Linked DNA regions of Kluyveromyces lactis. The protein of the gene in region 1 purifies or fractionates together with the protein of each later gene. This does not show direct contact. Links are inferred from orthologs where the notes say so. Each region holds a gene or a part of one and is shown in the gene's direction. Other genes may lie near its edges.

Region 1 (7,889 bases):
TTCTTTTGTGGCAAATTCTTCGTCAATGGATCTGAGACTCTGTTAGTACTTTCATCTAAATCAGTCAAGAATGAGAACTTCACAGAATTCTTCAAGGAATAATTGATTCTTGCGAATTGTTCTTGCGAATATGCAACTTCTCTCAAATAAATGATCATCGCCTTCAAGATCTTCCGCCATTTATGAAACCTATCCGCCAAGATATCAGTAGGATATTCTCGCACAAATGACGCTGTACCATCATCATATAAGTCTAATCCCTCAGCTTTTCCAGCATTGGCACTAGCACCTGCACCCGAGCCCACACCAACATTAGCACCAGCTCTGGCACTGATATTTGCATTACCGGCTCCTGAATTGGCACCAGCACTGGCACTGTTAGCACCAGCTCCTGCCAAGAGAGAATGCTTGGGAGTCGGAACGTTCACGTAATAAGGAGAATGATAGTTGGTCTTGGGTAAGATATCCTCATACTCGGTTTCATCAGCTAAATCCAATAAATAATTCGAATCCGACGAAGCAACTGATGAGTTATCTGCCAGTGATCCAGTATCCGTTTCTTCAATTCGCGGTTCCATCGCTGATAATGACAGATCAAAGCTTGGTTCCTTGTCCCTAAAATAAACCGATTATAAAGTCAACAGCAACAATGCTAAGCGATATTCCGTTGCCACTCGTATCACACTGGTATGTTATGTGCTTCCAGTGAATACTGATTATCTATGTTACTCGACGGTACAGGGAGTTTAAGGAGTGTTATTTGGCTTTCTTTCTTTGTTTTTGTGTTGACATGGTGTGGTGATGTGTGTGATTCAAATTCCAATTATTTCGATTCTATTTATGTACATTCTCTTGATTAAACTCAAAACAGAGTCATGGGCTCAGCCGTGTACGGTCCAAGAATAGCAATTTAGGGCATGAGGAGGCTGCTATAGTGTGCTTCAGGAAATCGTCAGAGTTTATTCAAGAACTTGATTTGGATGTACGTAAGGATATTTAGTTTATCTCTCGGGATTCTGTATCTAAATTCAATAGATTTATAAAAGTTTATAAGGCAGAATGTTACACGGCGGGACGAGCCTCAGAATCTGAGGGTCTATTCGCCGGTCGCTCGCTTTGTATTATCTTCATTTATCTTGGACTTTACCACCTTTCTTGATGATTCTGACAGCAACAGAAAGCATGGTTGATAACCAGAATAAGTTCAAAACGTCAAGGATCAGGTTACCGGTCACAATGATGGCCGTTTCGAGAGGTAAGAAGCTTGGATCGTTTCTGATGTTGTAGAAATCGGTACACAGTTGGTAGAATTGGTAGAAACCCCAGCAGATTCTTGCCAAGAAGAAGATCAAGATCAAAACGACATTGTTCACCAATTGGATCACGTTACACACCTTGGCCATGACAGTCTGACAGTCTTTGGTCAGTTGTGGCAAGTACTTGATCCCGAACCATCTGATATTCAAGAATGGATTGGATAGCTCGAACATCAGGAAAATACCTGCGTAGTAGTTGATGTAAGGTTTTAAACCAATAGCATAAACCACCGTAGAGATCAAACCGTGCAGCACGAATGGGAGGGTAGAGTAGACCAATGAAATGTAGATATCCCATAGGAAGTACCCAATTGCGAAAACGCATACCTTCACGTTATATGGGTCCATGCCAAAGATACGATCGTGAGAGTTTAGATCTGGTTTTTCATTGTTATATGCAATGGCCTCGAAACTGAGATAAAGCACGATCAGAGATTGGATCCAACTCACCAGACGAACGGCACTCTGGTTGACAAGGTCTGCATGCTGCTTTTCCTTAGACTTACGTTGGTCTTTCGTAGTCTCCGGATCCCAGGATAACCTATAAGAAGCTAGAGGTGGGAATAAGACCCGTTGAGATAACAGGAATAGCGCATGATACCCGACGGCAATGTACAACACAGTGTGTAAATTGGATAGAATCACATTCGAAGTAATCCATCCATTGGATTCGAGATATGGGATCACGTACTCGGTCAAATGAGGGTGCGGAGGTAAGGACATCACATAGGTCGTGAACAGATCTATCTGTTCGGAAACAGCTGCTGGAACGACGCTGCTAAACAAAGAACTACTCATCTTTGGTTATTGAACAGGCAACAAAACTCTCAACCTCGAGGGAAACAGTACCACAGCTGCTGGTCTATCCGTAGTAGCACAAAGCCTTTTTTTCTCCTTCTGATCTAGTTCCGTTTGAAGTGGTGAATGTGGATTTACAGTAATTTGTTCCATAAAGCTGCTCGAGAGATGCCATCATAAAATACGAGATGAGACAAAGATGATATATGGTAAAGTACGCAAGCTATGGACCGTACATTCTGGCGTTAGGTGGCATGCACTTTCAGAGTACTAGATTTCTAGTTCATTGATGTATTTATATATATATATATATATATCGGTAAATTCTATTCGGTAGTTATAAATGGGGAGGAACTCTTAGTTCTTCTTTGCACTTCTTCTCTCAGTGGCTTCTGCTGCGTCCTTATTGGCAAGCATCAACGCAGCACGGTTTAGTTGAACGACGTTGGCAATCTGCTTGAATATGTACCCTGGAAGACACACCAGCGCGATGATAGCTCCGATATGGGTGGATCCAAGCAATGGGAAGTAATACGATTTGAACTGAGGGAAGGCGTTGATATATAGACCCATGTAGAACATTTCGTTCAACGCACAAATCGTGAATAGCACCTTACGTCTCGTGTAGTATAAGTTGAGAAGCCATTGTTCCTTTTCGATGGCCTTGTGCGATTGAGACCCTGTGCTTAGCGTTGCGTACATGTGGATATAGTGGCTTGAAATGTCCAAGGCAACTAGTAGTTGGAACACGGGCGACCATACCGGATATGCCACGCATAGGAAACAGATCAATGCTGTGGTGGTGGATCTATCTGTCACCATATCCAGCACAGCACCGAATGAACTGATCTGGCCGTACTTACGTGCCATTGTCCCATCTAGTGCATCTAACAAACAAGACACTCCATACACTACCATCGTCCACAACGGATGCTTGGCCATCAAAACCAACGATAAACACATCGTCACCACACGCACATACCCTATCTGGTTTGGGATGTACCATAGCACATCTCTAGCGGTGACAGCGGACATTTGAAACTATTTCACGAGATTATTCTTGTTAACTCGTCGAGGCTCTTAATTTAAGTAGTTTCCAGAAACAATCTGCACAACTTCGCAATAGTAACACCAAAAATAAGAATTACCACTTGTACTTAGATCCTACGCGTCAATTGCAGCTAGAAGTGGCGCCGTACCGACTGGTTTTGTCGTCTCTTTTTCTCTTTTGCATCAGCCATCGGTAAGTTGCTTTGATTCGTTTGGAAGTTATCATTAAATGATTCTGATATTGATCACGTGACTTATACACAGTAGGATATTCCTCTACATCAACTATATACTGGAGGTAAACACGCTCTCTGTAACATCCTCCGTTGGTATGAGATATATCCACAGTTGTCCTATGGAGATCTCCCCCAGCGCTGTCCGTGATCAAAGAGATCCATTGTGCGTTCATACACGAAAAGACTGATTGCTGTCGTTGGAACAGATTTACATAGTCCCATTGTAAGTCCTCGGTACAACGCTGATACACCCTCCTGTCTTAGTATCTTGTAAATAATTGCAGTGGATGATTTATACCTGTACTCGTGGTAAACAGCAGGGAATTTGGTGAAATGAACTGTTCTCTTAGAGTTCATCACTTGCATTCTGCGACGTAAAGTGTCAATGGGGAACACCATCGTCTTGGATACAAACCCTGCGATGATCCCTGAACTAGCACTTACAGGTCGCGACCAGAATTCTTTCTCGTGGTTTTCACAGACTATATTCACGGTCTCATATGTGAGAAACATGATAGCCGTGGATAAAGTAACCGTTGTCATCGCAGTGGATATTCCAGTGAAAAAACCTCGTACACCTTCATTGAGCCACATTTGTCGGCACTCCTCTGCGACACTGGTCCGATGGCTCGTTCTGTTTGCTATAAGTCTTGTCCGAAGCAAATCTAGCGGGTAAGATACCACTGAACTAGTCATTCCTGCCAACGCTCCGACCGTTAGCGTTTGTCCCTGCTGTGAAAACCGAGGGAACTTCGCAGACCAAACGTTGTTGAACCACGAGTAAGATCCGAATTGTACTGCACCGTAAACAACGTACATCGCCGTCGCCGGGATGTTTCCTTTCCATAACGCTCGAAGTCCTTCTTCTTTCATTATAGTTCTCACAGTAGATGCAATTCCCTTATATTTGTCCTCTTGTACCGGTTGTAACTGATATCGTATTTTTACAGTATCCATTGGTGCAGTTGCCATCCTAGCAAATACCCCAGAAACAGAACCAGCAATCACTGAATTGTACCATGATACCGTTTCACCTTTCCTGAGATGGTCTTTCCTTATGCCAGTGTTCATTCTCTCTTCGTCATTAAATAAATCCCTCTCTCTTGATGGATTGAAGATTCACTGAATGCTGGTCTCTCGCTCCCTTCTCAGAACTTAAATGAAGCCAGACCTACACACAATCTCCTTATTTATAAATTACCACATACATGCCCTGCTAAAAGGGTCTCTGGCACATCAATTGCATTGCATCTCCAACCTCTTAGTTTCATATCTATTCATTGCGTATCCTAAAAGTGAAAAATTTCTGAATTTGAAGCTCATCTCATCTCATCCTGACATAACATTCAAAAGATGGGGAAAGAGGGACTGTAGTGGCTCATTACCGTCTATACCGACTGCGTATTGATTGTTATATTGTACCTATAGTAATTTTCTAGCCAAGATGGAGACTACGACGCATGTTTTGGGCCATGTTGATGGCTCTTCTGTTGTTTCAAACAGCGGAACTAAAGTTATCTGTTCTGTTTCGGGACCCATGGAACCTAAGTCTAGGCAAGAGTTGCCCACACAACTTGCATTAGAGATCATCGTGAAGCCTGCTGAAGGCGTACAGAGTACGAGGGAAAAGTTAATGGAAGATCAGATCCGTTCTGTGTTGACCCCAGTGCTTGCGAGATACTTGCATCCACGTCAATTTGTGCAGATATGTCTCCAAGTATTAGAAGCGGGAGAAAGCAGGGATTATACTGTGAAAGAAGTCAGTGTATGTGTTAACGCAGCGGTGCTCGCATTGGTGGATGCTGGTGTACCGTTACTCAGTATGTGTTCTGGTACTTGTATTGGTATTACCACTGAAGGGAAGCAGCTGGTGGTGAACCCAACAGAATCGCAGCTAGCTAAATGTGAATCGGTCCACGTATACTGTCTAGAGCTGGGCACGAATGAGAACGGGGATATAGATGTCAGGAACCTGCTTCTTCTTGATAGTTTAGGCAGCTTTGACGAGTCACAGTTGTTTAAAGTGTTAGAAACAGGTGAGAAAGAGTGTATACGGTTATACACAGAGTTGAGATCAGTGATCAAGGATAAAGTCGCCAAAGATTTCGTCTGGAGACAGTAGTGGGTATACCTGCACCCATGGTTCTTTATAAATTAACTTTATAATTAACGTTATCATCTTTATATACAATTTATATATATTTGCATTTATATAATTCGCATTAGCAGCGGCAGAGAGAGTAATCTAATCTATTGGACAAATAACAAAACAATTCTACAACTTCAATGCTTCCAAGTTAGCGATGGTAGCTTCCAAGGTTTCGATTTCAGCGGCAGCGTGCTCTGATCTTTCTTTGTTGAATTGCTTCACTTGGTCATTGGCCTTTTGTTCATAATCGCTGCTGTTGACAATCTTATCAATGGCAGATTTAGACTTCAAAGTCTTGTCTAGCTTCTTTTGGACCTTGGAGATTTCTGCATCGATATCGACGTGACCCTTCACAAGCACATGCACGTTAACTTCTGGGTTGACAGATTGTAGCACACAACCTTGTGGGATATCAGCAGCAGATTTCACAACGGAAACTTCATCGATTGCCTTAATCAAAGAGACGATAGAATCTTTTTGAGATTGGACAGTGGAGTAGTATGATTCATTAGCAGATTCAACAAACACCTTACCGTTTTTCAAGATGTTATATTGTGCCAACAAGGAACGAGCATCCTTTGTGACGTTTAAGATTAGCTCGTATTCCTTAGCAGCGCTTGGATTGTGGAATTCTTCCTTGAAAGTTGGGTATGAGCTCTTAACGATAGTTGGAGAAGTTTCGCTGGCGTATCTTGGTAGATGTTGCCACATTTCTTCAGAGATGAAAGGCATGAATGGATGGATCATTTTCAATGCATTGTCGATCAAGATATATAAGGTATCCTTAGCAGACTTTTGTTGAACTTCTGTACCTTCTTGAATCAAGTACTTGGAGTTCTCAATGTAAACATCACAGACCAAATACCAGAATTCATAGATGGCTGAGGTGGAGTTCAAGAAGTCACGCTTTTCAAATGCTTCGTTGACATTCTTGGCAGTTTCAGTCAATTCGTGCAAGATCCATTTTTCAACTAAGGATTCATTGCCAGAAAGAGCTTCAGAAGCTGGTGGTTTATAGTCATCTCCCAATCTCAACAAAGCAAACTTGGTAGCTTGGTAGATCTTGTTACAGAACTTTCTGTAACCTTCAACACGGAGAATATCCAAGTTAATGTCACGACCACCAGTGGTGTATGCACAAAGAGCAAATCTCAAAGCATCAGTACCACATTCTGGGATACCGTGTGGGTAAGATTCCTTTTGACCATTCTTTGCCTTCTCGACTTCTCTTGGATCTAAGTTACCTTGCAACAATTTAGCATGTAGATCCTCTAGCTTGATACCAGAGATAACATCCAATGGGTCAACAACGTTACCCAAGGACTTAGACATCTTACGACCCTGAGCATCACGAACTAAAGAGTGACAGAATACTTCCTTGAATGGAATAGAGCCGGTCAACTTTAGACCTAACAAGATCATTCTGGAAACCCAGAAGAAAAGAATGTCCCAACCAGTTTCCAACATGGAAGCTGGGTAGAATTGGCTCATATCTGGAGTCTTATCTGGCCATCCTAAAGTGGAGAATGGGTATAGACCAGATGAGAACCAGGTGTCCAAAACATCTTCGTCTTGTTCCAAAGTGTACTTCTTATCAGCAAATTTAGTGGCTGCCTTAGCTTCGGCTTCTTCCAAGTTTCTACCTGACACCCAGAATGAGTTATCGTTACGGTCGTTTTCTTCACCTTCAATGTTCACGAAGTAAACAGGACAACGGTGACCCCACCATAGTTGTCTAGAGATACACCAATCTTGAATGTTTTCTAACCAATGGAAATATTCAGATTCCGAAGACTTTGGTGTGATGGTAATTTCACCGTTTCTAACAACTTTGATGGCTTCTTCAGCCATTTGCTTTTGCGAGACCCACCATTGAGGCTTCAATAATGGTTCAATGATATCACCAGATCTCGAACATGTTGGAATAGTCATTTCGTTGTCTTTTTGACCAACGAACAAACCCTTTTCCTTTAACTTTTCGATAACTAACTTTCTAGCGTCGAATCTCCTAGTGCCCTCCCATTCAGGACCACAGTTTTCGTTCAATAGACCATCATCGGTGAAGGTGTTGATAACTTCCAGATTGTGACGAAGACCGGTGTTGTAATCGTTTTGGTCATGTGCAGGGGTGATCTTCACGGCACCAGTACCGAATTCCATATCAACGGCTTCAGCATCGCATACAATTGGCATTTTACGATTCAAGAAAGGATGTTGAACGAAGTGGCCATGTAAGTGCTTGTAACGTTCATCGTCTGGGTGAATAGCGACAGCAGTGTCACCAAACATAGTTTCAGGACGAGTAGTAGCAACAATTAATTTTTCATCGGAACCAACGAC
Region 2 (7,592 bases), on another chromosome or scaffold:
TGCTTGAAGCTTCACTATCAAGAGTCAGATTCTCATCATTCATCAGATCGGCAGATCCCATAGTACCTCGTTTAGGCTTGAAGTTTTTATTGATTATTGTTTGATTCCATATATCCATAATTTGATCAAATGTACTGTCCCTTGATATGAAAGATGCAAACAGGAACTTGTCATGTAAGGTTTGTATCGATATGGCATTAGGAAATAATACGGCAGTGTTCTTTTGTTCGATCTGAACTATCTCTTTGAATGGAACTACAACAGTCTTCATCCATCCCAAAATATTCGAGTAAAAGCAAATGTGTCTATCAGATATGTATAACCTACCTTGAATGAGAATATCTTTTGATAAAGCACAACTGTAATCCGCTATTAATCTTTCAATTGGAGATACTACGGTGTCTTTAAAGATTGTATGGAAATCTGTATTACGCTTAGCACTTGCATATTCAATGCCTTGAAGTTCTGGTTCTTCAGTTTTTCTCTTTATTGGAATGTCCGAAGTTGACAGGCGTGTTGGTCCTCCAGGTGGTTGAACAATATCACTGGTCTTGGATATGCTACTCGCTCTTGTCATGTTTCTGCCCGAAAATGAATTTCTTAGGGGTGCTGTAAATAATTTCGTAGCTGCAGCAGGCGACAATGATCTCATAGTTAAATCTCTCAACACTTCGGGGCGTCTTGACCTACCGTTCCTCGGCCTAGTTTTTTCGAATGAAGGACTGGCAGAATTTGTATTGCTGTCCGTATTTGCATCATCATTAGGCATTGAGAGTGGGGACGGAGACGATACCGGTCGATCTGGTTGGTCTGTGGTAATCAGCACACTTGGTGTATGAAAGCCGGTGGACTTGAGATCATCTTTGTCCTTTTCAATGGCATCTAAAGTTAGATTTCCCCTCCCAAAGGTCGAAATTGGGGGGGCATTATCTTGCTTTACTGATGTAAATTTGACTTTATCCATGAAAGTTCCCACAGAACCAATATCATCACTGTTATTACCATCTTGATCGCTATCATCGTATAACGGCACGGTAGAAGACGGATTAGTCATTTGTTGAGAAATGGAAGATGTAGAGGAGTCGCTGGTATTAAGGGTGTCTAGTGTCGTCGCCTTCTTCAGTAAATAATCATTATTCGAGCTGGGAGCAAGAAGGAAGTCTAAATGATTCAGAAATGAGCCTGTATGGTTGTATGGATCATTACTTGTATCTGTACCACCAATACCAGAAGTCAGCAACTGAGTTCTATCTCCATTGGACGGTTCATCGTAAAGGCTGCTACTACTCTTCAGTGAACTTTTGGGTATCAAATGGTTAGCAGCGTTATGTGCAGCCGATATTAGCGATGAAAAGAGGCCGGAATCAGATTCGTCTGGCTTACTCTTTACGGGAGTCGCACTATCACTTTTCGAAGACTTGAATTTGGTGAACAGAGTCGTTGATGGTACGTCAGATAGAGAAGCCTTGCTATCGCTTACCCGTAACCTCGAACCCAATGGATCAGTGTTCTCTTCCCTTGTCATTGCAGTTTGATTGAAACCCTCAGTGGAAGACGTATCATTTCCTGCATTTAATGAATTCTTTCTCGGAAGCCTCGACAATGATGTAGAAATCCTCAGCGACCTCGATCTTGACTTTTCGCCAGACTGTCTGCTACTACGAATCTTGATGCTTTGGATACCTGAACCCGTGCTTGAAACATTGTTCTTATCAGAGGCATGATTCGCAGATCCTGCTTTATGGTCACTCCCATCCATCAAATACACCTTATCATAGCTCGAATTCGACGATAATGCAGATGCATCATCATTGACATTGGGTTTCAGACTCGTAGACCGTAGCACACGTGTATTGCCCTGAGACTTTGGTTGACTCTTGTCCTTATCCTTTTTCTTTTCCTTGTTCTTCTTCTTGCGTTTGTTTAAATTTAGCAACGAACTAGTATTCCCGCTTAGCGATCTTAGTCTGGATTTGGTCTCCTCACCAATGGTCAACGTCATCACAATCCTACACCAAGTATACCAGTAACAAGGGTCCTATGGTGCATCTATCGATGCAGTTCTGCCTTGAATAGATAAAACCAGAAGCAAAAAGTTTCAATTTAAGGTAGCGCGTTCTTTAAATATTATATATAGGTACAAAAATGAAAAATTATCGGTGCAGAGACAGACCTTGAAGCTATAAATGCGATATGAAAGCGATCCCTGCGTTTGCCCATGACTCAAATTCACTACTTCAATTAAGATCCGCTTAACAAGCAAGTACTTAAATTATTGATTACATACGGGAAATGAGGGAAATTGCTATTTTAAACTGAAGAGGATGTAGATACAGAAAGAGAAAACAACAAGAAAACTTGTAAGTTTAACGGTCTTCTGCCCATTCGTTTTCACGTCTTATGGCAGCTTCTTCCTCTGGAGTGAAATCGTTAACGATATTGAAGGTCCTTCTGATTTCTTCAGGTGTTCTGCCCCTAATCATCTCCGCAACAACTTTACATCCAGCATCCAACAATGGCTTGATATTTAGATAGTTAGCTGCTAGAATAATCTCATATAACATTTCTTGGTCCACTTTCAAGAACTCACGGTCCCATGGATCCACAGGCGCAGCTTTCCTCGAATCGTCGTCATCTTCATCGGGGAAATTGGAATCCTTGTGATGAACGGCCCATTCGATCACTTTCTGTAATACTGACGACCTCACATTGGGCACGGGCATCACTATTTCATCGTCACCATCCTCTTCATCATCTTCGTCATCGTCAGCATCGTTATCATCATGCAAATCGCCACTGTTAAGATCTTGCAAGTAGTTCTTTAGTAAAAGTGAGCGTTCAGCGATCTTCCTGTCAACGACAAATCTCTCTCCCTCAACACTCACTAAAACAACGTTCTGGTTTTCCTTGGACATGATTTTCTGGTACTAAATAGAACCCACTTGGTAACTCTATGGTGCTAACTAACTACAAACACCAAGCTCCTATCCACTTGCAAACATTAACTGAGATGTATAACATGTTGATTGACAACCTGTTGGGAATTCGATTCTTTTCGTTATTTGACCTTAAGGAAAAGAAAATTATGATCACGTGGCCATTAAAGAAACAGGAAGAGAAACCCCGTAGTGCCAGTGAAAGAGTAACGTTAACTATAGAACTATCTACATACACGGTATGGAGCGATTTCAGTACTTGAATGGAGGGCCAAGTAAGGTTTTCATAGACCGAAGTTACTATATACGCATGCACTGAGATCGTCAAGTGCCGAGATGGAGTGTAGTTTCTGTAGGAACTTGTTGTTCATTGATACGAGTCCCGCTTTCAACATTTCGTTTGTGCAGTCTTTCGTGGCGATAGAGAATAATGCGATTTGATATGAATTTTTGGATATATCGACTACTTTGGTGTCGTCATCATTCGATTTAGGTTTCGATTTGCTGTTGACATTATCCTCGATTTGTTCCATGATTGTGTGGAATGTTTCATCGATTAAAGACTCCAGGACAATCCATGTTCCAGGTGATTGTAGGCATTTGTTGGTCTCTTGTACAAGTTGTTTTAGTAATAGATTATCCTCGTATAGTACTTTCAAAGCATCTTGTTCTAAAGTTTGTTGAAGAACAAATCTCTCTAAGTTAGGTTCAGGAAGTAGACATGAAATGAACATTTCATTCGATTGTGGCTGTTGAAAGAATTGCTTGTTTGTGGTGACGAATATCTTGCTTATCTTGCCACTGAACTCATCCATTGTCATGATATCTCTTGGGTTCGAATTTTGGAACTCTTCTTTCACCAATTGTTCAATGATACTCTTGTATTGTAGGTATCCACGGTTTAATAACCACCACGATAAGGATAAGAAAGCTTGTTCGTTAACGTATCTCGATTTTTCAGGGTTCGCAGTGGATGCAATGCTCCTTGTGTCCGTGTCAATAGTACCATCGCTGTTTCTTGGGTCAGCTTTTTCACTGGGTAAATTGTTGCTCTTTTCAGTGATCCAACTAGAGAACCAAGATAAGACTGAGTATTGATTAGCCTTCTTTTCCCTTTCCTTTTCCATGGCAGAATTGATGGCAGTATCCAAATACTCTCTTCTTGCCAATATATTCAATTGCAATCGGGTTAAAAGCATCAATAATGATGTGGTATAGGACAAGATAATGATCTTGGTGATAGCTTTGAGTTTCAAATCGTCCCAAAGCTCGGCCTTGGATTTCGTAGACGTTTCAGAAACGCTAGTGGTATCTGCAGATTGCGGAGATTTCGCTGACACACTGGGTGCAGGCGTCATCGCACTCATTCCTGAACTTAAGCCCTCATTTTCCAACTCATTCCCAGCTATTTCACCTTTGGAAAGCTTCTTCTGTAACTTTTTCCCCTTTAGAGCCTCTACAATAGAATCAAGATCGAAATCCTTAGCCAACACTAACGTCATTACCGGCATCAATTCATAAAGAGTGTACAACGAGTCCTGCTGAGTTTGTACAAACCTCCGTTTGATCTGTTCCTTGACAAATCGTTGCTCCGTCATTTTCAAATGCTGCTTGTACAACCATCTTTTACTGAAATAGACCGTAATAGCGCATGTAGCAAATAGCGTAGCAAACAAAACACTAGAAACAACGAACTTCTTTCTGTGTCTCTGAACCAGAGATCGATTCCCAGTCATGATGAGGGGTAAAAAAATAACTTATAACTTAGAGCAATGTAATTCTTCTATTGATTTTCCACTACAGCCGTTGTCAGATTGCGTGTAGAGCTTTCCTAGTGTCGTTGTTTGTCTTGATACTTTATTGATGTTGATGTTTACTTGCTAGTTAGTTATTTTAATGTTTTTCGAATTTTGTTTCCCCCTCAAAGAGCGACAAATTCGACAGATTTAAGAGAAAACATATACCAAAGAGATAGAATTGCGTTGGGTATTGAACCTCTATGGTTCTGCAACTGGTGCCAACAGATATTTTATAGTGTATCATTACAGCTTTATCTTTTACTATACATATTATATGTGTATATGTGTATAATTGGTCAAAAACGTTCGCATGACTCAAATAAAAGATGGATCATATATGTGATGTGTCGAATCTCAAACGAAAACGAAGATTACATCCACCTATTGGCGTTGCATCTCAGTGAGACGTTTAAGATTGGCCAAGTTCTCCAGGATCTGGCCATCTGAGATCATAATTGGGGTTTGCGTATCGTTGCGGAAGTAATCTTCTGCACTTGTATGTGCTAAAGGTGGACAGAGTCTGAATGAACCAGACCGATCCATTTGATGTTGGAAGGGGGAATTTTCCGAATAGAACGCAGTTCTATCGAGTTTGACTTTGAGATGGTTCTGCTGTTCGTCGTTCCCGTTCTTTTGGTATAGGTTCTGTAGAAGCGGTTGCGGTGGCTGTATTCCAGCCTGAAGCGATGATGACTCGTGGTTCAATAGGAAGGATACGTTCATCTGTTTAGAGTTCCGCTGCAAAAGCTGATCCATTTCTGTGACGACTTTCTGCAAATTTGATGCCAAGGTTGACCATGATTCTGCATCGCTTGGCGAGAGCGAGTGTGCTTGCTCACGATATTTCTCACGAACCTGTCGTAGCTGTGTCTCTATATTCGATAAGTCATCAGCGACCATTATCTATGCTGACGAGAAACAAACTAAAGTACTTCTTGAGCTAGGCCAGTGTTGAAATTAAGTATACTGGCGGAGGGTGGATGTTACTTCAACAGTCCAAATAGGACTACTCGCCCTGTATTGAGTACAGGTTCTCCATATATGTGGTATGAATGTGTGTAATGTCTTGCGTTTTTTTTTTTTTTTTTGGCAGGCAAATATGGAATTTTCGCTGGATAAAGAAATAGAAATATTACTGAAGTACTTCTACGTGCGAAACGCACGCAGATTATTATGCGTTTTGTTCCATTGCGAAAAATTCGCAGTATTATGTTATTGATCGAAAATTTTGATTCAGTGAAGAATACTTCATCTCGGTATTATACAGCTTCATCTCATCTCATCTCATCTCATCTCATCGCTGCCTCAGTCGACAACGACAAGAACACGGACCACATACAACTACCAGCATGGAAGATACTAAGAAAATTAAACCATACATCTCGTATCTCAATAAACAGGTGGAACAACTCAGTGGTGAGATTAACAAACTAACGAGCAAGTCATTGGACGAACAACTGTTGCTTCTGCAAGATGAAAAGAAGAAACTTGATCTTTCAAACAAATACGCATATGTATTGAGTTCACTATGCTTTTCATACATGAAAGTCCTCAATATCAAAGACCTGTCACCTATCATGGCCGAATTGGCAAGGTGTAAGTCATATATGGATAAATCTAAACAGTTAGAAGCTAAGAAAGAATCTGAAGAGAAGGATGAGGTGGAGCAAGAAGAACAAGCAAAAAGAGTTCTACAATCTGCGTTGGGAGGTGGCAAAATGGAACCTGCTATCAGTAAAGTCAACTTTCAGGGGAAACATACTAAGTTTTCGACAGAGGCTTCCACCACCAGCACTGATAAGGATGGACTGGCAAATCGAGTAGTAGACGGAACAAAGAAATCAAAACAGCAAAAACAATCTGGTAAAGTATCGAAGAAATAATTCATCTGAAATATGTCCTGGCATGTTCATCCATGTATTCCTGGGTCTTATTCTGGCATTCTATATTAATAATTAGCATCGCATTTTTCACTGACATAACAAGTTGTATAGTATAAATACACTAAAATTGGGAAACAAAAAGAAGGAAATTCCAGTTGGCAAACGTGAACAAGAATTAACCAAAGATACAGGTTTCAAGTGGCAACAGAGAGTTACAGAGACCAGTAAAAGGATTAAAAGAAGTACATTTCAATAGCCATGATATCTGACGAGGATATTTCAACTTTCCAAGGTGTTTGCGGTACAGATAACGATGAATTGTCAAGACATTTCCTTGAGATGGCCGGAGGCAATTTGGAAACAGCCATCTCGTTATTCTTTGAACATGGTGGTGAGAGACAGTTGAACAGCAATTCTGGTAATAATAATGCCGGTGCTGGTGCTGGTGCTAATACAGGGGGTTCTGGCGGTCTGAGTGGCGACGTAGAGTTTGCTGAAGAATTACAAAGACAAGCGTATCAGGATGAAGATCAATATAGGGCTCCGGATCAGGCAAGACACGAGACATTGGTGGAGACAAATGTGTTTCCTAGTGTTTATGGTGGTATTGGAGGTTCTTTTGAACCATTGCGTAATGCCAGGGATATGTTTGACAATTCAAGACCTTCAGGAATTTTTAATCAACAATTAGACACAGACCTACTACGTTCTGGTAGATCTAACAACTACCATCGGGATGACGATGATGACGATAGTGATTCTGCGTTTACTGATGAAGAAAATTATCCCAGTAATGAGGATGAGTACGAATACGTAGAAGAAAACGTCGTGGAAATAGACGACGATGGTGAACTACGGGAATATACGAAATGGGTTAAGAAGCCAAAACCAATGTCAAAGGAAACCAGGCTAGCATTATTGTTTAGACCTCCATTCGATTTAATGGCAAAATACGATCTTGACACTGCAAGGCA
Region 3 (9,368 bases), on another chromosome or scaffold:
AGGATAGAGAACTTGGTCGAATGCCTGAAGATGTTGCAAGAATATTGTACCCACTTTTAGACTACAGCGAACAGGTCAGTCTGGAGCCATATCTTCTCATTAATAATGGTAAGAGATTCAGTGTTGGAGATAATATTTACATCAGAATTGATTGTTATTTGACCTCACAGGCTTTCGTCCGCATTGAAGGCGGAAGTATTCTGAACAAATCTTTTATCAATGACCATGGCATGGACACACGTCAGTTGCATCGCGCCGGAGCGATAATGGCATTGTTTGATGCGATAAATATACAACCAGTGTACGGAGACACCAAAAATGAGATGATACCTAACTACCAAGAAAACACTGTTTCTAGTTCCCAGTTTCAGGATGAAGCTTTGAACATCAATCAACTAAAATCATTTTACAGAATTACACAGTCCGCGGCCTCATTGCAAAACTTACCAGAAACTACCCCAGATGAATCACTTTTTAAATTGCAATTGAGAAGGTACCAAAAGCAAAGTTTGTCATGGATGCTCAAAAGAGAATACGAGTATAGTCATTTATCAGAGAAAGCCGCAGAAGTGTCTATTGATGGGAATAGTATGAATCCACTATGGAAGAAATTCCGCTGGCCATCTAATTCAAAACAAGGGACTCCAAACCACGAAGATGATTGCTTCTTTTATGCTAATTTATACACTGGTGAGTTTTCTATCGAGAAGCCGGTCATTAAGACGATAATCAATGGAGGTATTTTGGCGGATGAGATGGGTCTAGGGAAAACAATATCAGCTTTAGCATTGATTTGTACTGCTAGCTATGATGAGGCTCATGAAAAGAAAATTGAGTCAACCAAAAAGCCTTCTATGAAGGAGATGTCTTCTCAAGTGGATTCCTCTCCATTACGCCATTCTCAACATAAGCATGACACTTATGCTTACAGGACGACGTTGATAGTAGTGCCGATGTCCTTATTGAATCAGTGGCAATCAGAATTCGAAAAGGCCAACAAGGACCTCAAAAAACGTTGTGAAATTTATTACGGGAATAATATTAAAGATTTAAGGGCGTATGTGCTTGGCCCCAACGCTCCCTCAGTAATCATAACTACTTATGGGATAATTCAGAGCGAATATGGGAGAACCTCAACATCGGGATTATTCAATGTGGTCTTCTTTAGAATAATATTGGATGAAGGTCATACGATTAGAAATAGAAGTACAAGGACATCTAAAGCTGTCATAGCCTTGCGGAGTTCCAGAAAATGGATCTTGACAGGAACACCAATCATCAATCGACTTGACGATCTATTTTCCTTAGTTCAGTTCTTGAACTTAGAGCCCTGGTCTCACATCAACTATTGGAAGCGTTACGTTTCAGTTCCTTTCGAGAAAGGTAACTATGCGCAGGCATTTGATGTCATAAATGCAGTATTGGAGCCTGTGCTTCTCAGAAGAACGAAGAATATGAAGGATGTTGATGGCAAACCTTTAGTCTCTTTACCTCCAAAGGAAGTAATCGTCGAAAAGTTGCAACTTTCATCCAGTGAGAAAAGAGTTTATCAATCCATGTTAGAAGATGCGGAAAACTCTGTTAAAGAAGGGTTGGCCAAAGGTGATCTATTGAAGAACTACACTAATATCTTGGTCCATATTTTAAGACTTAGACAAGTCTGCTGTCATTTGGATTTACTCAAAAAGACACCAGATCTCGGAGACCCAGATCTTGAAGATCTGGAGAACTCAACTCAAAACATCTCCTCCATCCTCATGCCAAAAAATATTAAGTCACCAAAAAGTTCCATTTCTCAAGATAAATTGGATGCTTTAAGTGCGAACTTTCGTGATATTCACAGCGCTTCAGAGCAATTACCTTCTTTTGAATGTGCTATTTGCACCACTGAGTGTATTGAACCGCTGTCTGCGGTCTCTATAACAGAGTGTCTCCACACATTTTGTGAACCTTGTTTGGCAGAATACATTGAATTTCAGCAAAATAAAAAACTATCCATCAACTGTCCATATTGTAGAATGCCGATCTCAGAAGCTAATGTGTTAAAGCTAAAGGAGCCAATTGATGCTGAAAGAGGATATGAACTAATTTCGTTTCATTCACATTTCCAATCGACTAAAATTAAAGCTTTATTGAGGCATCTCAAGCAAATACAAGAAACTTCTCCTGGTGAACAAATAATCGTATTTTCTCAGTTCTCATCATTCCTAGACATTCTAGAAATAGAGCTACGTTCGCATTTGCCAAGAGATCAGGTAATTATTTACAAATTCGACGGACGGTTAGATATGAAGGAACGGACTAGAATCTTGGAACAGTTCCACGATAAGGATTTGAGTTGTATAAAGTTATTACTTTTGTCGTTGAAAACTGGAGGTGTGGGATTAAATTTGACTTGTGCATCAAGAGCGTTTATGATGGACCCATGGTGGTCTCCAGGTATGGAAGATCAAGCGATTGATAGAATACATCGTATTGGTCAGCAGCAAACTGTCAAAGTTGTCCGGTTCATTATCGATAATAGTGTAGAAGAGAAAATGTTAAGAATACAGGAAAGAAAGAGAATGTTAGGGGATATTGTTGAGGGTGATGAGGCAGAAAGGAGACAGAAGAGGATCGAGGAAATCCAAATGTTGTTTCAATAGACTATCATGACATTCAATCATATAGAAGCCTTTTAGGGCTTTGCATTTAAGCTGTTATTTAATTCGTTAATCATCAAGTAGTAGATATTCATCTTTGATCATAAATCCATGGGATACCTTGTTGCGTCTTGCCCATGAACGGATGATATTGAGTCTTATTTCAGAATCACTTAAACAATCAAGATATTTGAGAGCTTGAATTATATCATTGATTCTAAAACCAGTGGCCTCGGAAAGATCCTTCAAAGTGACCTGGGCCACATCTTTCAAATTACCTTCAGTCAACTGCCAAACTATTGAGAAAGACCAAAATTTAAGATAGCCAATTAAACCGAAAGGAGATAGAGGAACTTCAGGACCCGAAATCAGACCCTGACATCTTGATAAAGTGTAGGAAAACTCAATCAAGAGAGTACCCAATCTTCTTCTTTGATAGGGCGGAAAGACAAGAATACATGCAAGGTTATTTTGGTGGTAGGAATATAAGTCTTTTGAAAAAAATGCCATCGGTACTGTAGAATTGTTCTCATACACAATATAGAATTCGAAATGCTTAACTTTGAAGTAGACAGACTTGTTATCAAGAAATAGCTTAGTAAATAGACATAAGCATTGGCAGAAAACTTCATGCTTAGAACCTTTTACCCTTCGTATAGTGTATTCGGGGCTTCTGTATTTTATTCTACCGGGTGGCTTATTCTTATATCGGCAAAAGCACTCATGTGCGATTAACTCTGCTTCATCATCAGTGTACTTGAAACAATATTCACATACGTATAGGGTATCAATCCAATACTGATCTTCAAACTTCTTTTCAGTAGGGCTTTGTTTTGCGGTGTGCTCATTGTTCGATTCCTTGAAGCCCAAGGTCCTCTTATTTCTTCCAAAATAAACATTACTCCCGTACCAAGTTGCAAATCTTTTATTCAAGCCAAATTGGACGTGCCTAATATTAGGCTTGTCAAGAATACCATATATTTCTTCATCCTCTGTTGAGCTGTTGTGCTTATCAGGTTTGGGAACCATTCATTAATGATTTGAAAAGAGGCAAAAAATGCGATTTATCACGTTTCCCAAATTTAATGAGTACTTGAAAACCCAATTAACGGTGGAATCAACTGCTCTTTGAACTTAAATGTACAAAAGATTGCCTATATCTTTGAATTATCAAAACGTTGAAAGCGACTTTCTTTTTTTTTTTTTCATCTTCCTTTATGGCAGAAAAAGCTTTAAAGCTCATCGCATCTCATCGCATCCAAGCTCACCTGCATCTATATATCAAAATCTCGTTGATAACAGGCTGGTAGTCTGAATGTTATAGGCCTCTGTGACATTAACAGTCAAGAGAAGTACCTCGCACGTTAAACGGTCAAAAAATTGAACAACAAACATGGGTACCTATAGGAAGCGCTGGAATGAGAAAGCACGCGCGGGTCAGATGTCTAAGTTGAAGGAGTTGAAGAGAGTAAGGAATAGGCAGTTCACCCGTGCACTTGAAAATTCTTCCGATGCTGATTCTGAAGAAGGTAATTCATCTGAAGATGAACATCATGAATCACCCGATCATCAGGAAGATACGAACGCTGCTGTATTGAAACCCATGACGGAGGAAGAGAAACAAGAGAAAAAGCGTAAATTGGAAGAGCTATTCACACCTAAGGAAACGAAGGTCTCTAGGACGAAGAAAAAAAGGTTAGAGAAGTTCATCGAGCATCAATTGAAAAGAGAGGAGAAAAAAGTTTTGATAGAAAAACTTCAGGACTATAAAATTGATACTAAGCTTTTGACAAGTTCTAAGATTTTGGGACAAGGAAGGCAAACTAAGAGGCAAGGGATTGAAGAAGCCCTCAAATTAGAAAGAAATGGACGTGGTGATGAAACTACCAGGGAAATTCTTTACGATGAAACTGAGGTAAGGGATTGGTATCAAGATCATCCAGAAACTAGGCCCAGTCAGGAAAGCACAGCTGAAAATTGCAATTCGGATAGTGATGAAACGGACCATACCAGTTCAGATCACCCTATTTCGGCAAATACTGGGGGATTTATTGATAATAGACCCAGTAAATTTGGTGGGTCAGGTTTTGGTTTTGGATTCGGTAATGCAAAGGTGGTGAATAAAAGGGCCTCGAAGAAAAGGTATAACTGGAAGCAAAAGGTAGAGCAAGAAGAACGTAGAAGGCGTAAACTGGATGATGATCAGGATTTTGAATCTGACGAAAGTGAATCAGAAGAACATTCATCCACTGCAGAAAGTGAACCTGATGAGAGTGAATCTAATAGTAATGCTGATAGTCACAGCGATGATGAGTCGAGTGAGTCTGACGGCGAGGAAAGATCGGATTCAGAAATAGCGCAGTGCAGAAACGTAAGTTCTTCAGTTGCCCAAGAATTTAAAGAGTGGGCAAATCAGGAAATTAAAAAGCTTGAAGGTAGAGATGTAGAAATGGTTATGCCTTCCTCCAACATCAAGGTCGATAGGACCGAGAGACCTGAAGACTTTGAAGATGGACTCAAAGCAGATGAATTTAATGTGAACGAAAATTCAACACGTAAGGCTTTTTATGTCAAGGTACGGAGATCTGATGCTGTTCAAGCTGTGAGAAGCGCACTACCTGTTTTCGCCGAGGAACATAGAATTATGGAAGCTATCCATCATAATGACGTTGTAATCATTTGTGGTGAAACTGGTTCAGGTAAAACGACACAGGTACCGCAGTTTCTTTACGAGGCAGGATATGGTAATTCGTCCTCAACTGACACGCCTGGGATGATTGGAATAACACAACCTAGAAGAGTGGCCGCTGTCTCTATGGCTGGACGTGTTACTAATGAGATGGGTGATCATGGCGAATATGTAGGATACCAAATTCGGTTCGATTCTTCTACCAAGGATAAAACAAGAATGAAATTTATGACTGATGGTGTTTTGCTAAGAGAGATGATGAACGATTTTAGACTTTCTAAATACTCTTCTATCATTATCGATGAAGCTCACGAGAGGAACATCAATACAGATATTTTGATTGGTATGTTAAGTCGTTGTGTCAGCTTACGTGCTAAGGAGCATGCAACTGATCCGGCTAAGTACAAAAAACTTAAACTAATTATCATGTCTGCCACCTTGAGAGTATCAGATTTTAGTGAAAACCCTACTTTATTCCCTGTTTCTCCACCTGTCTTAAAGGTCGACGCCAGGCAGTATCCAGTGGCTGTACATTTCAATCGTAGAACAGCTTATAACTATGCTGAAGAGGCTTTCAGGAAGACGTGTAAAATACATCAAAGGTTGCCTCCTGGTGCTATCTTGGTTTTTATGACAGGACAGCAAGAGATCACGCACATGGTAAAAAGGTTAAGAAAAGAGTTTCCTTTCCCCAAGAAACATCAAACTCTCATTCAAAATGACCACATACCTACAGTGAAAATAGATGCCAAAACTGCAGATGTAGAAGCTGAAGATATCGACTTCAGTGTCAGAGTTAGAGAGGAACAAGAATTTGACGATTGTTTACTCTCTGATGAGGAAGATATTGAGGACAAAGAAGAGGACGAAGAAGAAGGTTTTGAAGAAACACTTGAAGAAGGTCAGACGGATAGAGATCCACTATATGTTCTTCCTCTTTACTCGCTATTGCCCACCAAAGAGCAAATGAAGGTCTTCCTTGATCCCCCACCAAACTCCAGATTATGTGTTGTTGCTACTAATGTGGCAGAAACATCATTGACCATACCGGGAGTAAGATACGTCGTTGATTGTGGTAGATCAAAGGAAAGAAAGTTTGATGAAAATAATGGTGTTCAGAGTTTCGAAATTGACTGGATTAGCAAAGCTTCTGCTGGCCAAAGAAGTGGTAGAGCAGGGCGTACAGGGCCTGGTCATTGTTATCGTTTATACTCCTCTGCAGTTTTCGAAAGAGATTTTGAGCAGTTTTCTAAGCCTGAAATTTTAAGAATGCCTGTGGAGAGTATAGTTTTGCAAATGAAGAGCATGGCTGTTCATAATATTGTGAATTTTCCATTCCCTACCCCACCCGAAAGACCAGCTTTGATGAAGTCAATAAAGCTCTTACAACACCTAGGTGCACTCGACAGTAATGAAAGAATCACTGATGATGGTAAAGCAATGAGTTTGTTTCCGCTAAGTCCAAGATTTTCTAAAATGCTGCTTGTTGGTAATGAAAGCGACTGTTTGAAATATGTTGTTACCATTGTCAGTGCCCTTTCAGTAGGTGAGCCGTTTTTATCTGAACAAGAGCTTGGTATCATGGATACTGTGCCCAAGACACAAGATGAAGGACAATTAGATGACTATCCTGATCACGAAGCTGAGGAAAGAAAAAGGCTATTGCGCTCCAAGTATGTTAAAAGCAAAATTAGATTTAGTAAGCTTGATAAATTCAGTGATGTTTTCCGTCTTTTAAGTGCAGTATCTGCGTTGGATTTCATTCCAAAGGATCAGCACAGTTCTTTCATGGAAAAAAATTTCTTAAGGGCAAAAACCGTAGAGGAGATTATGAAGTTGAGAAAGCAGGTGATGTTCATCATCAGGTCAGTTACTTCGAGAGAAAATGTAGCTGTAAATGTTAAAGACGAAGACTTGAAGAGCTCGATCCCCACCGATGTTCAAATCAAATTACTCAAGCAAATGATCACAGCAGGATTTATCGACCAGGTGGCCGTTCGCGCAGACCAGTTATTCCCGGAAGACGTTACTATCAACAAAACCAACATTTTCAATATCCCTTATGTTCCAGTCCTTGCTGAGAAAACATCTTCTTTGGATGATATCTTTGTTTATATTCATCCAACCTCAATTCTCAACAATTCTGGCGAGCAACCTCCGAAATACTTGGTTTTCCAATCACTACATGTCAATAAAAATAATGAAAAGGCGAAAACAAGGATGAAGTCTCTTTGTGACATTAAAAGCACGCCATTGGCTAACGTTGCAAGAAAGGGCTCGTTACTCACTTACGGAAAACCAATCACTGGACAAGGTTTGAAACCTATTGATTTATCGCCAACAGAAAGATTCTGCTATGTTGTTCCTAGATTTGGATCTTGCAATGATAGCGACATCAAGATTGGTTGGGAACTCAATCCTATCCCTGTTCATCAAGAGAAAGAGAAAGGTGTATGGACGGTCAAGAAATTCCTTACTCCAAAAGCATTTAAAAACTATCAAGCTTCGAAAAGACCCTAGAACTACACCAGTACAATTTATAGAATTAATTAACTCATATAATACCAATTGCATTGGAATAATTAAAGGCCAATACCTAGCTTGTTAGGCTATGACTGGGTACTGTTGCTGTGACAGGAATCTCTGTAAAAGCTGTCAATGGATGCCAGTTGGATCATGATGTACGGTTTTGATGTTTTTCATAATGAAAACACAGGTTTTGGCGCAGGTTGATCAATAAAGGCTTCTTACATTACTGCTGAATGACAAACTGATGGGCAGTGAGAGAGTACAAGGTCTGCAAACTCTTTTATAGTGGGCTAAAAATAAGTAAACAATGGTAGAGCTGCTAAAAGAGAATTTTTTTCAGAACTTACTAACTGTTTTAAAAGGGTATGTGAATATAAAAACAACACATTTTTCATTCGAATTATGTTGCATTCGCACATGTTTTTGTCTAGAATCGGTGATAATAATAAATTAAAGACCAGCATACGATGACCTGGGGTTCCTCAAGTCTTTATTTTATGTTTTCAGTGTTAGATTTGCCAAAGCATGATTTTATTTTACAATCAAATACTAACAGTATTAATTTTATTTTGATTTAATTAGTGCATCTTCGAAATGCAGAGCTTTAGATGAAAGGTTTCCTAAAGAATTCTACGAGCCTGATCCAACACACATATACGATTCTTACGTGAAGTTTCTAAGGGCCAAGTTTGATGAAAATCCAGATATCAAAATAGCAGAAGATATTGATTCAATTTCCATATCTGATAAATTTGCTAGTGGAGATTACCAGAAGCATGAAGATTCTGTTTATCGGATTTACCATGATATTAAATTAGTATGCTCCATTTTAATTCACTACTACTCTCAAGGAACGAGGTCGTACCAAATGGTCGACAAATTCTACAAATTTGCAGCAGAATTGATTCTAAGGGAATGTTATAGAGTTGGAGCCAAACTGGTGGGAGACTTCGCGGCAGACATTGACTTCAAAGAAAGTGATTTTTCAAAAACCATTTCCAATGATTTCCTTAAAATTAGTCAAGTTTATCAGCTCCCCGTTACTGAAACTTACCATACGCAGACAAAGGAGGGACATTTGTTCAGTTCGGTGATAACGAGGTCAGTACTTGATCAGAGGCCAAAGGAAGTACCATACGAGGAATGTGAAATTGTGAAAATTATTCCTCAAGCAACATCCCAACCAGCCAATAGATTGGGATTCGTAGCAGCTAACACTTCCAATGTTCCTGATCCAACAATTTCTCCTACAGAAATCATGACCTCCTTTCTGCATCCGAATTGGTACCCGCTACCCACTACTAAATGGTTGGAGTATGGCGACTATCAATCTTTTGCTCCGAGTATCTCGGAGTTCAAGTCTGTAACAGATTGTTCCCGTAAAGGAGACATATGGTTGGAAAAGGTCGGATACAAAAGCTGGTTAGAAATAGAATCGAAGAAGAGAGGGGCTGCGGAAGCAGAAGATAAAAATGTTGAAGATGAAAAAATAAAGGATGAGGGTATTG
Region 4 (7,861 bases), on another chromosome or scaffold:
TATTGTGGTCTAATAGAACTTAATATAATGGCCTTTTCGCAATGTTTTCCCCTAATCTACATAAGAGTTGCTGTTGGTAAATATAGTTTAAAATTAGAGTTTGGTTTTCGACGGCTTGTTCATAAATTGGGTCACGTGATTAATCCTTTTTTTTAATTATGGAGAGGCTTCTTTTTCATTCGAGCTTTGATGTATGACGGATAGCGCCAAGGGTAATGTTGATACATCCGAACACATCTTGGTTAACTCTTGGAGAATAAAATAGTAAAGCACTTGCAAACAGGAGTGTAAAACAATAGCATTTAAATGAGATAGTTCGAGTCTACCGGCGTAGTTGAAGGTTTTAGTATTAGATGTTTAGGTAGAATAGTAATACGAAGATTCCAACGGTAACACAAGAGTATGGAATTAGTGGGCAGAGTCACATGACTTGTGTTTTTTTCCATAGGTAAACATGCGAACAGAAAGGTCGATTATGATCAAGAAAGATTTGATCTGAAATGTATACTCATTTGCAATCTCATTTCAAGAAAAAGTCTACGGAAGATGTTTCATTTATGGGAATTGCTGATCATATGCTGTATATTTTTCTTATACTGTTAAACTATTCCAGTAATATGCCCTGTAAGCCTGTGAACTGAAATGAATGGCAACAAAAAAAAAAAAAAAAAGGAAAATGGGTGCCACGTAAGTTCATTATATACAGGTGGTTTTCAACGGGACTTCAAGAGAATAACAGCTTCTATGGCCAAGTTGGTAAGGCGCCACACTAGTAATGTGGAGATCATCAGTTCGACTCTGGTTGGAAGCATTATTTTCTTTTTGCAGCTCCCGTACAGCCGCCTTGCTATATGACAATGACCCTAGATCACTCTGGTCTACGATTAGCATCGTAATGCTACCGCGATCTGATGTCAAAGGTTTCCTTACAAAGAGAGCCAAAACTTATGCATCAAATTTTTTAAGATTGGATTGCCGTAACTTTAGTCAATACTTTTCCTCCCTCTTCTGAAGTATGTACGAGATAGTACATTAAGTTCAATATACTCGTTGTTCCCTATGTAAAGATGTATGTTGGCCTTATTCAACGGCTTTCTGCCTTGATGTTCTTGTTTTTACGATTCAATCTCTCTTAGATTGTTAGTTTTTGTTCAAGAAAAAAGATTGTAGGTTAACTGTCATTCATGATATTCTGTCCTACTGCAACTTGTTTGAATCAATGGACATTCCAAGTTATATGGTTAGACTTTGAGCAATATTCGCAGAGTAGTTTGATTTTAATCAGAGTCCTGGGCTATTGGTGGGGTGTAATATCAAAAATCTTTATAATTTCTGCCAGATGCCTGGAAGAAACGTTACACTAACAGAGTCGGTTTAATTCAAAAATGTACTTTGGTCATCCTTTTCTTCGGTGGTTCAACCAATGAACGAATGACTTGCCTTGATTCTTGAAACCTATGCATGAAAGAGCTTCTGGTGAGAGCATTAGCGAGGGTTCGGCTTTCGATCTGGTCCAAGTGAATAGCTTCTGACTTTGTCTTGATGATACACCCAGAAACGATACTGGCTTTTGTATGTACGACTGGCAAGGCGGGTTAGAGTGGGGTGTTTTAGTTGCCAAATCCCAGGTTGTGAGGGGGGGGTCTCCGTCTGCCCCTCCACCGGTTTGCGAAAACGGTCACCTGGCATGAACCGGAAACAAGTGCTGTTTGGAAACATATGAGAAACATATGAGAAACACCAGTTAGTCACGTGGTTATATAACTTCACAAAGCAGTTCTCTCCGTTTCCTTCTGACGTATGAGGTGATGAGCCGAAAGCTAGTACACGACTCTTTTTCAGAAATACGGATCTATTACTATTTACTGGTTTGACAATACCGGGCGACAGCCACTTCTTCTGTTTAGAAATCATTTCACACGTACTGATCGTCGGTTGATTTGTAAAAAAGTTCCAATGCTGCCTGCCGATAATTTGGAAACAAGTACGGTACGGAAACAAACGGGAAACAAATAGGAAACACATATATATTATCACGTGATGACGTTAGAATTTTTCCATCTCGACTATTTCAATCGTGGTATTCTGTTAGTGACCGTTTTGCAAGTGAATATACATGCGATGAGATGCTTCCAAGTTGACGTTGGCTAGTGCCATATCAGCATATATTTACTTGAGTTTGTTTCCCATCGTTATATTAAACTAATACCCACAGAAGAGAGGTCTATTAATGAGTGTGCAAGATAGAAGAAGAATATTAGGGCCAGCAGAAGCGAAGCCATTGCAGTTTGCTGCAATTACTCCTGTAAGAACCGTAGAGAACAGGGACGATGGTAATGGTAATAAATCGGGTAAGGAATCTGTGTTCATTAGTACGGATTTAGTAACGAATGCAAATGGTTCCTCATACCTAGAATATATGGATGGTACTTCGGATCAAGTTCTCGTAATGAGTTCTGTCTTCGGACCCAGGCCATTGCGAGGCTCCTTCCAATCTAAGGCATCAGTATCGATTCAGTTCAAAGAAGTTACGTTAGAACATTTGAATACCGGAGAAATTAAAGAAATTTGTACTTTCCTAACAAATGTCTTTAATGCGGTGATAAACGTTGAGAAGTATCCAAAATCTGGTATTGATATCTTTATAGATTTGATCCAGCATTCTAATAGTAATCCAACAGAGGAGGCAAATATCGTTAATATTCTACCCACATGCATTAATTCTATTACCATGGCTCTTGTAGACGCAGGTATTGAAATCATTGATTTAGTGAGTGCCGGGTCAAAAGATAACTCTGTGGTTGCGTTTATTAGGAATGGACATGAAATCGTCGGTATTTGGAGCGATGACGATAACGTCACTGACATATCAAAATTAATAGAAGAGTGCAAGGCAAAATATTTGGTAAATAAGCAGACTTTGGTTCAATATCTTAAATGAAATGAAATGGTTAACGTAATTTCATAGTGATTCATAATTAATGTGACACGAACGCTTCTTCTGTATTAGCAAAATAAAAATATACAAGGCTTTACCATTAAGGGTGAGGATTCGTTAGAAACATATCCTATTTATACATGGGTTGATACTTTAGATATAGTTAAGTACAATAGAATGCGATTTATTCCAAGTTATCTAACACTTGCTTGATTTGCCATACTTTTTTGGTGATAATATCGATATCAAAATTGGTACGTTTCATGTAAACAACGGAAACATCGGTGTCCATAGTAGACTTATACCAGTTTTGTAATGTTTTCCCAGTGAAATATTTGTTCCTATTCAAATCAAATTTATTATCATTGATTAGAACACCACATTGTTTCAAGAACTGCTTCGTGGTAGCAATTAATTGGTCCACGTCTTTTACAGTTTCTTTAAATTGAGGGAATAATAACTTGAAAGGTTTCGAGATCATAACAACATCGTGACTGTTAGCACTGTGGTATCTAAATTCATAAATACCTTCTTCAAAGCAAAGGATACTCTTATCGAATTTTATAGATCCATAAGTGAAATGGTCATTTGAATCGAAATGCAAAATCTTCTGATGATCTTCAGAATATGAAGAGCTCGAAGATACCGCCGACCAATGTCCTTGAGATGGTATCTTTGTAGTTAATCTATCTTCACCAGTTTCAACGACTTTGTAAAGTCCAATCCAGTCATCTTTGTGGAAAGCTTCATTGGTAACGGCCCATTTGATTTCGATTTCTTCTGGAATCCGAATCGTATTTTCGTCATTGATGTTGACGATATCCAAGTTAAAGTGGCCGGTGCCTTGCAAATTTTTCACCGTTTGCTCTCTAATCAAAAGCATATTGATAATCGATTCCCAATCTCCCTCACGATCTGCTTCAGCAACGCTTTGTTTTGGCACTAGACTAGTGAATAAATAATCATCGAGCAATTGATCAACTTTATCGATTAAACTCTTGAAATCCTTACCAAATTTGTACTTGGTCAAAGTCTTTTCGAAACCACTAGATGTTGGTTTGGTTCCATAAACCTTTAACAAATGTGGTGTTTCGATGAATTTAACAGTGAACCAATTGAACATCGTCCATGTAGTGGCTAACCAGAGATTCCAATTTGAAAAATTGTTAATTAAGACGGTCCCCCAGATACCTGCAACACCAAACACACGCTCAGGATTATTCAAGTATCTATAAATACCATCGTTCTTCAATTTCCTTTTGTCAATTAAATTAGGTAGGAAGAAATCACCATAAAACCAGCCAAATTCTTTAATACTATGGAAGATCTCAGTGTTGCACCAAATTTGAATAGCCAACAACAACAACCCAAAGGTTATTGTATTGTAACTACCTGAGTCACATTTGACAAAATGGTAGTAGCATTGCAATACCAAAAGAATATAATTGATAGTGCTGTGTAAATTGTAGATAAACTGCCACATTTGATAAGCATAAATTTCATTGTATCCATTCTTCAAGTATAATGAGGTGAACCATTTGCTATTCGATTGCTTGTATAATATAGTCATATTGATAACAGATGACACAATCTTAGTGGTCAACGCAATTTTGGATAAAGTGACAAAGCTTGGGTTTAAAATTGTGCACCCAATAACAATTGATGCCACGGTGATTAAAGTGATATAATCAGTTGGTTTAAACTTGTCAAAGTTTTTGAAACCCAAGAATGTTGTGACTAATGGCTTGGAATAGTTATCTAATTGTTTGACCATCTTATCATCAATTGATTCCTCTTCGTCGGATGAATCAGATCCATAGATGCGTTCGATATGAGGAGTTTCCACATACTTCAAAAACAAGAATTGCAAACAGTGACCAAGAATGGAAACGAAAAGAACATGATGATCGCCGGAGATTAAACTCAACCCATAGTAGCCAATGTAACCGATAGAATACATGGGATGTGGGAAAACGTTGAAAACACCATCAAAGACAAGGTTTGCGTCTTGCAAAAAGAAGAAATCACCCCAGTACCAAGCATAATCTTTAACCACTGAATGTGCGTCGATTTTGACCCAAATATTGAAAAGGACCATTAAAACACCGAGCCAAACTCTGATACCAATAGAATTGAAGCTAGTGATATTGTTGAGAATATCGTTATGAGGTAAAGAAATCACAACGTAAAGCATGTAAGTGGTAAAATCTTGCATTAAGATTAAATCGACAAACTGTCTGAACAAGAGCCAAGTGTTCCATTCTTCTGGGTAACGGTACAAAGAGTCGCCTTTTTGGTATTTTGCACTGATCTCGAACTTAACAAATCTTGACAAAAGGTTGTTCGCCTTTTTATCAAACAAAGTATGTTTCTTGGCGAAATTTGTCAAAGATTCATAATGGGATTGGTAATGCAATACTATACCGATACCCAAGTTGTAGGACAATCTCCAAAATATGTACTGACTCAAGAAGATAATTTTCGTGGTATTAGCACCGAGATGCTGATAAGCATAGTAGCAAAGAATAACGTTACCGATAATGGTAGCGGTGATACAGCATTCTAGGAAAGACTTCTTCAAAGTTGGATCGAACAATGATCTTACCATGTCATGGGTCTTTGGAGGGTCGAATCTGATAGTCGATGAAGACCTTGGATGGGCTATTGGAATTTTCACATGTGAATTTAACTTCCCATCAGGTTTCAAAACGGTCGATTCACAGGAAGTAGCCATCCTGCGGGTATAATTTTTGTTTGGTTATTTCAGTTGAGTGAATCGATGAAGAGATAAACGATTTAACGGGAGTCTGCTATGGAAGTTGAGTTCCTCTCTGTTGAAAGATCCTTCGTAATGTTGAAATCGAAGTCGTGGTCTTTGAATTACTTTTAACAGAAACTAAACCCAAACCAAAAAACCTCACCGGAAACGTAGAGTTGAATCTTTATTTTTAAACGTTAAGGTAGGAAAGTTGGACTTAAAGAAATCCTGTCTTGATATAAATAATATTCTAAGCGGAATTAGACCGGTTGAATTTAGTGAACTTTTGATTTGAATTTGCTTAGATCTAGTGTTTTTTCACATTCAAAAATACAAAACAGTACCCTAATTGTAATCAGAACGCAAAAATCATATGCTAAGTTCGAGAAAAAGACAAGAAACCACTCCCAAACGTGAAATGTGTCAAAATGTGAAATCATCACCGAAAATCCCCCAAGCAATCTCTACTTCCAATAGCGAAAAAAACTAATCTTTATATCAGTTTCCTGCTCATGTGAAATTAGTCAGAATTGTCGAAAAAAATGATGAAGCCACACAAACTGTGGTGTCTGCTGTTTGTTACCCGGAGCTAAAAGAGCCAAAGGCCATTTAGCTCCGGGTAATGGTCGGTCATGTGACTAGCAGCTGATTCTCCAGCTTCAACATATATATATATATATATATGCACGCCACATGCGCTTGCACTCGCTTCAATTAAAGCTATAAATCCAATCCCAATACAATTCGAAAGGTTAGGGACGCTACGTGATAACCTTTGGAGTGATGTTGTGTGATGGTATATAAATGGGATAGGTCGTGAACCAGAGACCTGTGAAAATGCATTACAACCCTTAATTTTGGGAATCCTATGGTCTGAATCAGCTCACATCTTGTGTGAAGAACATAGAAGTCTCAAAATGAGGGGTGATAACGGAAAAACATATGTCTATTACCCGGTCTTATCGTTATAGGCAATTGGCATTTTTTCCTCCATACAAGTTTTTTCTAGGCTTTTCTTCTGCCCCACTGAAAAAGATCCGCAGCTGCCTGTCTTCTTCACTTTTCTCCGAGTGATATGCTTCATCCAGGCTGCCACTTTTCTGTTCATATCTTCTTCAAAATGATAGGAATCCAGATACTCTCTTGTGGGGTGCCTTTTACCTGTGATATTCGATAGCAAAAAATGGGAAGCTCACAGAGTCAGGCTATTTCCACGTTAGTGGATGTCGCAGCCAGTGGGTCCTTCTTTCACTTGAAGGCTACCAATAATAGACCTTCAATAGTCACTATACGGTCTGTATGGTCTGTACGGGTGTATATGGCACGATCAATATCGTACCATATTCTGTCCTGCTCTGTTCTGGTAGTCTGCGTAAACTCTGCCAATTATGTTCTTCTATATCCAGTTCTGTCGCATGTCGGCTAGATTATTTGTCCTAAGTTTCGAATGGCTGGCTGTTCCTTGGCTTCTAATCCCCATATAGAATTTAATCGGTCAAGATGGAACCGAGCAGTTCCGATTGATCAGACCGTATCGATGCAACAACAGGTGATGTTGAATTCTGAATTCTGTCAAAGAATCACAATCTATCTCGATTTCCCTTCTTTCTTTTTTTTCAGCTTAGTTTAGATATGGGCATCGAGGTTCCCCTAAATTTTGTTTGCCAGCTAGACATAGCACTGGATTCTTATACTGTCTAAAGCTCACCACGGGCCTGGAGAAACCGTTAAAGGATGCCCCCACAAAGTTATAGGGTAGAACTATGAAAGTGATGGGGTTAGGTTTTTGAAAAGAAATGAAATTAGAACTTATATAAGGGGATGGATTTTAGTATATTTTCCAATTCTCTTGTTGAGATCGTAATAATTGTCGTTCTTCCAATCACATTTAGTTACATAAATCACCATCAGCTATCATACTGAATAACAAGCAATCAAGCTAAAAAGAATATCAATATTAATTAAAAAATGTCCATTCCTGAAACTCAAAAGGGTGTTATCTTTTACGAAAACGGTGGTGAATTGCAATACAAGGACATTCCAGTTCCAAAGCCAAAGGCCAACGAACTTTTGATCAACGTCAAGTACTCCGGTGTCTGTCACACCGATTTGCACGCATGGAAGGGTGACTGGCCTTTGCCAACCAAATTGCCATTAGTTGGTGG

The links.
Region 2: the proteins of RRP46 (region 1) and LRP1 purify together in Saccharomyces cerevisiae (affinity purification with mass spectrometry; 6 studies listed by BioGRID, with this or other methods). This does not show direct contact. The link is inferred for Kluyveromyces lactis from reciprocal best matches to the Saccharomyces cerevisiae genes RRP46 and LRP1.
Region 3: the proteins of RRP46 (region 1) and ECM16 purify together in Saccharomyces cerevisiae (affinity purification with mass spectrometry; 3 studies listed by BioGRID). This does not show direct contact. The link is inferred for Kluyveromyces lactis from reciprocal best matches to the Saccharomyces cerevisiae genes RRP46 and ECM16.
Region 4: the proteins of RRP46 (region 1) and MTR3 purify together in Saccharomyces cerevisiae (affinity purification with mass spectrometry; 7 studies listed by BioGRID, with this or other methods). This does not show direct contact. The link is inferred for Kluyveromyces lactis from reciprocal best matches to the Saccharomyces cerevisiae genes RRP46 and MTR3.

The regions. Positions count from the first base shown.
Region 1 is NC_006040.1:1,264,385-1,272,273, reverse strand, and holds RRP46 (exosome non-catalytic core subunit RRP46), read left to right. Parts: upstream 1-4,844; coding exon 4,845-5,522; downstream 5,523-7,889. Other genes in the region: KLLA0_D15081g (uncharacterized protein), read right to left, coding at 1-578; ALE2 (Ale2p), read right to left, coding at 1,128-2,114; PIS1 (CDP-diacylglycerol--inositol 3-phosphatidyltransferase), read right to left, coding at 2,472-3,149; thiamine transporter TPC1, read right to left, coding at 3,518-4,471; VAS1 (valine--tRNA ligase), read right to left, coding at 5,676-7,889. UniProt on the Saccharomyces cerevisiae protein: Non-catalytic component of the RNA exosome complex which has 3'->5' exoribonuclease activity and participates in a multitude of cellular RNA processing and degradation events.
Region 2 is NC_006041.1:1,505,519-1,513,110, forward strand, and holds LRP1 (Lrp1p), read left to right. Parts: upstream 1-6,084; coding exon 6,085-6,618; downstream 6,619-7,592. Other genes in the region: YSP2 (Ysp2p), read right to left, coding at 1-2,002; SCF ubiquitin ligase subunit SKP1, read right to left, coding at 2,367-2,915; PEX3 (Pex3p), read right to left, coding at 3,221-4,672; KLLA0_E16985g (uncharacterized protein), read right to left, coding at 5,117-5,635; DNA protein crosslink repair co-factor UBX5, read left to right, coding at 6,877-7,592. UniProt on the Saccharomyces cerevisiae protein: Required for exosome-dependent processing of pre-rRNA and small nucleolar RNA (snRNA) precursors. Involved in processing of 35S pre-rRNA at the A0, A1 and A2 sites. Required for activity of RRP6 in 7S pre-rRNA processing.
Region 3 is NC_006042.1:1,594,564-1,603,931, reverse strand, and holds ECM16 (ATP-dependent RNA helicase ECM16), read left to right. Parts: upstream 1-4,035; coding exon 4,036-7,851; downstream 7,852-9,368. Other genes in the region: DNA helicase RAD5, read left to right, coding at 1-2,645; SAS2 (histone acetyltransferase), read right to left, coding at 2,712-3,671; RSC58 (Rsc58p), read left to right, coding at 8,168-8,223, 8,443-9,368. UniProt on the Saccharomyces cerevisiae protein: Probable ATP-binding RNA helicase. Required for 18S rRNA synthesis. May play a role in restructuring of the pre-rRNA.
Region 4 is NC_006042.1:1,684,267-1,692,127, reverse strand, and holds MTR3 (exosome non-catalytic core subunit MTR3), read left to right. Parts: upstream 1-2,230; coding exon 2,231-2,941; downstream 2,942-7,861. Other genes in the region: CHO2 (phosphatidylethanolamine N-methyltransferase), read right to left, coding at 3,123-5,672; KLLA0_F18260g (zinc-dependent alcohol dehydrogenase), read left to right, coding at 7,665-7,861.